Macaca fascicularis: one gene and its partner. The protein of the gene in region 2 interacts with the protein of the main gene of each other region in a biochemical or structural test. Links are inferred from orthologs where the notes say so. Each region holds a gene or a part of one and is shown on either strand. Other genes may lie near its edges.

The links. The genes of interacting proteins can lie anywhere in the genome.
Region 1: the proteins of DLG4 (region 2) and SIPA1L1 form a complex in vitro, tested with the Homo sapiens proteins (2 studies listed by BioGRID and IntAct, with this or other methods). The link is inferred for Macaca fascicularis from reciprocal best matches to the Homo sapiens genes DLG4 and SIPA1L1.

Annotation. Positions count from the first base shown.
Region 1 is NC_088381.1:139,586,512-139,590,077, forward strand, and holds part of SIPA1L1 (signal-induced proliferation-associated 1-like protein 1), read left to right. Parts: intron 1-975; coding exon 976-1,038; intron 1,039-1,477; coding exon 1,478-1,596; intron 1,597-3,566.
Region 2 is NC_088390.1:7,264,732-7,269,038, forward strand, and holds the start of DLG4 (disks large homolog 4), read right to left. Parts: upstream 2,803-4,307; 5' UTR 2,686-2,802; coding exon 2,500-2,685; intron 1,907-2,499; exon of another isoform or gene 1,416-1,906; coding exon of another isoform or gene 1,386-1,415; intron 1-1,385. Other genes in the region: ACADVL (very long-chain specific acyl-CoA dehydrogenase, mitochondrial), read left to right, coding at 4,253-4,307. UniProt on the Homo sapiens protein: Postsynaptic scaffolding protein that plays a critical role in synaptogenesis and synaptic plasticity by providing a platform for the postsynaptic clustering of crucial synaptic proteins.

The DNA.
Region 1 (3,566 bases), on a different chromosome or scaffold from region 2:
AAGCCCTTTGTGAGGCGTGCAGTGTCATGCCTGCCACACTCGGGAAGTCACACAGTGTGAGAAGGGATGGAAAGGGTAATTACAAGGTTCTTCCTAGACCCCTGTTCATTCTCTCACACTAACCTCCCTCTGGTCTTTTTTTCCCTGCATCCACTTTACTTTAGTGGCATCCCACTCTTAATAGATAAGACTTAAAAATGAATGTAGGTGAATTTTTAAAACGTATTTGTTTATCTTTTTCATAAGGTATACCTTTTTTAAAAATAAGATACCCCTGAAGTCTGCCAAAGAAGCCTTTCACCACAGTACAAGAGGTCCAAGTGGTGGCCTTTCACCGTTGAAAATCCAACCCTTCAAATAAAATGTTAAAATAATTTTAAAAATAATTTTTGATATCCCAGCATTCCAGAAAAATAACCCAGCCTTTCCTAACTGGCACATCAGACGGAATCAGAAGGCTTAGCTGGTATAAGCCATTCCAGGGAGAAGTCAAGAAAAATAATTGTTGCATTTTTATTACTCAGTACCCAATATTGAGTATATAATGGGCTGACCTTTCTCTACTCAGTTTATAAGAACAGCATTCTCTAATGACTTGCACTGATTGAGAATGTTTACGAGGTTCTTATTGGTTAGGCATCAGTGTATTGTATCAACAGGTACCCTCCTGACAGTGGAGACAGGAGTTTAACTTACTGACTTGGCTCACTTACCTTTATGGCTGTTTGCTTTTCTGCCTCTGCTTTTGGAAATGGTCGAGAGTCAGAGTCAAGGAGTATTTTGCCCTGTCCTCTACGTGTTAGGAAGGGTGTTTCAGAGGCCCAGGATTCTTGCTATTAGCTGTAGTGGTGTTATGGAGGATAAGTTCTTTATCTCTCACTTTTGGAACCCCATCTTGAACGCCAGCTTGGAGTCCCAAAGGAAGCAATTGTTTTAAGTAAACTAGTTGCTGTGTGTCTTTTCTGTTGTGCTCAGCTTACAGTTATAGAGGACCTCAGGATTTCAATTCTTTTGTCCTCGAGCAGCATGAATATACAGGTAAAATATTTCCAAAGTGTCATGGTAAGTAACACGTGATTGCATCCATGCCTGTCTAGGTAATGTAGACCAAGCTAGGTTAGCCACACTTGGCAATGAATGAATTTCATAAATTTAATTCATATAATCCAAATTTTTCCCCCCAAACCAAAAGTTGATTCTGAACTTTGCTGCGTTGTTCATGGCCTTTGGTTTGGTGGTACTTGGCTATGCTAATGTGTATGATGTGACAAGTTGTCACCAGCTGCAAGCTTTATCCATCAGCCACTTAAGTTTCTGACCTGCTGTCTATCATATAGACTCTTAACAAGCTTACTGCTGAAATGCAGAGTTTGCTGGTCAGTGAACTGAAAGATGCAATGGCAAGCCATCTTCATTTGTCACCATGTGCTTGTTTCTGCTTAGTGCCTGCACCATAATGTCCTATGCTGTATTCCAGAGCCAACATGCCATCTCCCAGCAGTATCAAAGGTACTGCCAGCTTTCCGAGAGAGCCCCAGTGGGAGATTAATGCGGCAGGATCCAGTGGTTCATTTGTCTCCAAACAAACAAGGGCATGTAAGTTAACTGTAAACTTAAAAAAATATTAGATTCCTAGCAGTGTACCTTCCTTGCACTGTGAAAATGCTCTGCTGTTTTCTCTACATGGCCAAAGAGGAAATCATTCTGGCAAAGGGTGGTCGTTTGCTGCCATGGCCTTGCAGTTTCTGCTGCTATGGCCTTTCGATTGCTTTGAGATAAATTGTAATTCCTCATTGCTGTGCTTCTGCCACACCCACAGGTCTGGTCATCTGATTCAATCACTAACAATCCTGGAATGTTAGGAATGGAAATGTATTAGAAGTTGATTTTTTTTTGCTTACACAATTGCAAGCATGAGATGTGGTTAGAGTGTCAGTCCTGCTCCAGCCATGGGAGGACTCCAGCAGGACTGATGCTCCAACCATATCTTTGACTCTGCTGCAGTAAAGGAGGAATAGGAGACAGACAGCTTCCCCTGTGCCTCCTCTACCGCTTCTCTTATCTTTCATAGCCATACACATTTCATCCTTTTGCTATAGTAATACACACTTCCTTCTCACTTACAGTAAAATTGGGAATATGAGGTTATCATTCTCCAACCCCCCTCTTATTCTTTTTTTTCCTCACTCTTCTTCCCTGATACTGCTAATGGGATGGGATGCCCTCCCCATGCGGTTGATTTCCTTGGTGTGTCTGTTCACTGGAATGTGTATGTTTATATTCACGTCATTCTATAGAATGAGGAAATACTGTATTTCATGCTTACTAGTTCACTATGGAAGATGCCCAGAGAACTTTAAATGAGAGATGCATGTAAGTTTTGCTGTAGAAAAATGAATATTGAGCCAAAAAAAACAAGGGAGAGTGAGCATGCCCTGCACTTTGCTCTGAAGAAAAAGATTTGCTGAGGAAAATCTTTCTTTTTTTTTTTTTTTTTTTTTTTATTATGAGATGGAGTCTCGCTCTGTCGCCCAGGCTGGGGTGCGGTGGCGCGAACTCAGCTCACTGCATCCAGCCTACTGAGCAGAATCTTTCTATGAGGAAAATATTTACTGAGACAAGTTGTGACAATGTGATATTGTCACAATTCTACTTGTAAATGATAGGTTATCCCAACTGATCTATAAATTTCTCCTCATTAATAATTTTTATACTGATTACATGATAAAATAATATTTTGGACAGGTTGGGCTAGATAAAATATATTATTAAAATTAATTTCACATGTTTCTTTTCTACTTTTTAAAATTTGGCTACTAGAAAATTTAATATTACATGTATAGTTCCCATTATGTTTCTGTAGAAATGTATTATATACTTTACACTCTTGGTACATCTCAATTCAAACCAGCCATGTTAGAAGTACTCAGTAGCCACACATGACTAAGGGTCACCAGATTTCCCAGCACAGGTCTGGAGCTAAAGAAGTTCTGTCCTATTAAGAATAAATGAAGGTTTTATTACAGCACTTAGTAAGTTGTTATTGAGGAAAGCTAGAGTAACACCAATAAAGTAACTGGGATTGATTCTTTTTTCAAGGGGAAGAGATGTTTCACTTTGAGGTGAAACTGGTGGCTGGGTGCGGTGGCTTACCCCTGTAATCCTGGCACTTTGGGAGGCTGAGGCAGGTGGATCACTTGAGGTCAGGAGTTCGAGACCAGCCTGGCCAATATGATGAAACCGTCTCTACTAAAAATACAAGAAATTAGCCAGGTGTGGTGGCACACACCTGTAGTCCCAGCTCCTCTGGAGGCTGAAACAGGAGAATCGCTTGAACCCAGGAGGCAGAGGTTGCAGTGAGCTGAGATCATGCCACTGCACTCCAGCCTGGGCAACAGAGCAAGACTCTGTCAGAAAAAAAAAAGAAAGAAAGAAAGAAAGAAACTGGCATATCCTACTCCTGCCCCTCCCCTTAGCCAATGAAGAGCCTGCTCCTTCCTCCACCAAAAGACACACACACAAACACATGCACACACACAGTTCCTTCTCTGTTCTTTTCTCTTAAT
Region 2 (4,307 bases):
GTGCACAATGCATGTGTACACACATGTGTGAGTTTGTGGCAGGGAACATGTGTGTCCTCAGCTCCCTCCCATGAAAAGCTGCAGTTCCCACTAAATATAACCCCCTCCCCAGCCTGTGACTCACCCGGACCCCGCCTCCCCCGGCCCCCACTTCCTGTCCCACCCCCCAGCCCCCAGCTGCCTGCCACCCGCCCAAGCCTCCCTCCACACACCAGGCATCCAGCTCTCCAGTCCCAGAGTCTCCAAGCAGAGCCTAGGTATCCGCATCCCACCAGGAGCTCGCCTGTGCTCCATCCAGGATCTCCTGCCTTTGCCAGGCTCCAACCAGAGGGACACTCTTGCACAGATCCCCACCGCTGCCAGCCCTGCCCTCCTCCTACACCTTTTCACCCCGGTAACCTCAGTACCCTCGGTCATAAGTCCTCAGGGACCCTTAAATCCTGGTGTCCTCCCCCATCTTGATCCCAAGCGTCAGGGGTATCTGGAACAGTCCCCCCATCTGCTCTTCTCCCTCTTTCTTGACCAGGGCTAGATACAGTGTGGGAGGAGATGGGGACATTGGGCCCCTGCCTTTGGGCCACCCCCAAATTGTGCACCACCCACCCGGTCCCCCTCCTCAAATCCCCTCTCTCCCTAAGCCTCTCATCCTCCTCCTCAGAGGCTGGCAAGCTCGGCTGCTGCAATCTTCTGCCTCCTATGGGAATACCCCCACATCCTTGCCTCACCTGGTCCATTCCCTCAGGTAATCCCATGCCAGGGCCCCAGCCCTCTGACAACTTCTAACTACCTCCATTCTATATGACTGAACCCTAAATTAACAGTTCCCTCAAATTGAGAGTGCATCCCTAAATGCAGCCACGAGATGCTTGTTCCAGAGTCTGAAGGCCCACCCCTTCCCTGCCAGCTAACACCCCAGACCAGTCAGGCACTCACAACCAATAACCTTTACCCCCATGCCAGGAGCCCCCCAAAACTGGACAAGGCCCTTGGAAGCCAGCTTTTCCCTGGGGAGGAAAGAGGAACCCCCCCAGCATAGCCCACCTTCCCACATACACCAGCAGGACTTCCTTGTGAGCCAGGCTTCTCCTTAAATAAGTCTCCCTCAAACAGCGCTGGTGAACCCCGAAACCCGCCAGGCCCCCCAAACCATGGAATATCCTAAATTTTCCATTTCCCTACAGGTACAAAGGGATCACTCCAGGGGGCACCTGTGGCCAAATCCAGCATTTTCTCAGATGTGAACCCCAAAACTAAATTAAGACCCCCAAATACATCTTACTTCTGATGCTGCCACTCCAGGGACGCCAGTCCCAGATAAGGCCTACTAACCCCTCCCCACAAACTCATGCCCTCCCCCCAGTTTATAGCCCCCCCATCATGCTTACCTTGGTTGTCACTATACAGAGACAGTCCATGTTGGGGGGCCTGGCCGCGGCGGCGGGTAAGGGGCTCTGACTTCATCGGAGTTTCGTTCCTCCCCTCCGTGGGTTCTCACCCCTCCCCCCTCCGCACCCCACTTTTGCAGGGGGGGCCAGGATGGGGGGAGGGGTGAGAGGGGAAGGAGGGGGTTGGAGAAGGGAAGGGGAGGGGAGCGTGGGAGGGGAGGGAAGGGGGCCCTAAAAGGGGCTCCCCAATGGAGGGGAGGGGGCTTGGGGAGCACACCCCGATTCTCAGGAGGGGCGGGGGCACCGGGGGCTGGCAGCCCCGGAGTTCGGGGGCTGGGGCATGAGCTGGGGTGGGGGAGGGGAACTGGATTTCGGGGAGCCCCGGGGTAGGGGGGGATCTTGCCAAACGGCCAGGGGCTAGGGGCCGTGGCGGGGGAGTGGGGTGGGGGGGTTGGAAACGGCAGCGGCCGAGGGAGCCGTGGAGCCGAAGAGGGAAGGGGAGAGAGGAGGAGAGAGGAAGCAGGGGGAGGGAGGGAGGGAGCTAGGAGCCAGAATGGGGGGGTGCCTTGGCAGAGTTAACTCCTTCCGTGCTGGCAGGAACCCGGATAATGGGAAAGGAGATAGAAGCAGAAGCACAGAGGCCCTGAGGCAAACATGGAGACCTGGCCAGCCACCAGCGATGACAGCAAAGACGATGAGGCTGGATTTCATTTCTTAGAGAAGGAAGCACCTATAGTTGGGCTGGGAGCACCCATGGTTATTTGAATACGGGAGGGAGGCCACGACAGGCGGTAGGGGGTCGGGTATGAGGGAGGGGCTGCAGGAGGCAATCCCTGGGGGCCTAGTTCTGCCTCAGGTTTCTCAGGGGGAAACCTAAAAAGCCTTAGACTCTTTAGTGCCTGAAATTGAGGCAGCCAAAGAAAAGGAGGAAGAAAGGGAGAGGGGGTACAGGACCACAGAGAGTGCATTCTCGGTGCCCCAAGTCCCTGGGCCACCGACTCAGTCTTTCGTCTGCAGGGCCCCCAAGTTTCCATATAATATTAGCAATATTTGCCTCACCCCTCCAGCCCTGCCTGCCCCTCAGGAAGTAAGGCGCTCGCCCCCACCTCCTTACCTGACTCTCTGAGAGGGAAGCCTCATAATAGTCCAGGATGTCTGCCACAGAACAGAACTGAGTTACCTCCCCATTCCAGGCCTCTCCAGACACATCACCCCTGTCATCACCGCTGCTGTCCGGCTGGCAAGGGAGGAGCCCTTTCAGCCAAGGCTGGTCCACACTCATGGAGGACACCATAGGCATGACCCTGCTTGGGGCTCCAGCTTGGACCAAATGATTTCCAGGCTCCCAAACAGCCCCCGAAGTTCAGTAACGGACAGCCCTTGGAGGCCCAGGTCCCTCAGAAAACGGGCTACTCACCCAGCAAGGCCTGGAAGAGGTCGCTATGCAGCACTGTGAGGAGGGGGGGTGCCCACCGCAGCAGCGGGGGTGCCAGGAGCCAGAGGGCTGACCTGGGAGCTAGTGCGATGCAAGGAGAATTGGGACAGGGAAGAGGCCAACACAGGAAGACGAACACACTGTCACTTCATCTCCCCAGCCTGTGCCCTTCACCCCAAGCCCTATGGAAAGATTCAGGGAGAAGGATCCCTGAGCCCCAGCCCCCCACTTCAATCCCAGACCTCCCCTCCACAAGGACCCCTGTTTTTCACCTCTTGGTCTCTGGGACATCTCTCTCTTCTCTCACTTTAATCTCCCTAATCCTCCAGGATTGGAGTTGAGCTGCTTCTCCCCACTAAATTCCAGCTGTGAGTAAAGTAGGCCATCTCTGAACCGACCAGCTGTCCCATTCCCCCAGGTCCCAAGGCACCAGCGCCGCCACCATCTTGCTGCACACACCCTGGCCCGTCTCCCCATAGGCAGGCAGAACCTAGCCACACTCTCCTAAGAAGCCAGCAAAGAGGGCCTCCTCACAGAGGGCTCCAGCAGCTCAAAAAGAAGCTGACCCCAGCTCTCTCTCCTCCAGGGCCTCCTCTCACCCCAATGAGAATTGCAGAGAGAGGGGTAGAAATTGTTTGGAACTTCCTGACCTAGGGCTAGAGAAGTTGGGGTTTCACAGGTAAGAGGCAGGAGAATTCCTGCAGTTCCTCTCAGGCCCGGGAGGATTCCATCTGCCTGGGCACATGGTCTCTGGAAGTAACAGAGGGCAGAGACAGAAGGGAATGTTCAGGAAGATCTCAGAGGCTTTATTAAGGGAAGCGCAACGAACCTGGCGGGGCCTTCCCACTGGGAAACTGTAGCTGCTTCAAGAGTTAGTGAAATGGTTTACGTCTCAGAAGAATACACTTAGGGCACTCACACCCTAGCTTGGGTGCCCCCACCCCCCGCCCACCGTGCCCTCCCTTTTGTGTTGGCCGAGACAGATTTCATCAGGAACCTTAGAGTCTGTTTTTCGGTGCCTCTATTTCTGCCATCTACCTTACACTTCTCTTTCCCTACTTCTCTCTTCTAACCCCACCGGAGAAGCCCTCCCTTCAGTCCACCTCCATCCCTCTGGCTGCAGTGACTTAAGCCCCTTCCTCTTCTGTCCCATCCTATCCCATCACCCCGTCGGAGGACTAGACTCTAGTTCGGACGGGCGGGATTAAGGAGTTTGGGGGAGACGAGAGACGCTTGGAGATCCCCCTAGGTCAGCGGAACGCAGGGCCGGGCTCCAGGGAACTACAGCTCCCAGCATGCCCCGGGGCCCGCAACCGCCGCCGCCCGGTGCACTCTGGACGATGAGTCAGGGCTAGGAGGTCCAGGACTTGGGCGTACAGGACGCCAGAGCTGGGTCAGCGCTCCGTCCAGCGACGCCCGGAGAGACTCGGAGATGCAGGCAGCTCGGATAGCCCCGAGCTTGGGGCGGCAGCTGCTGAGGCTCGGGG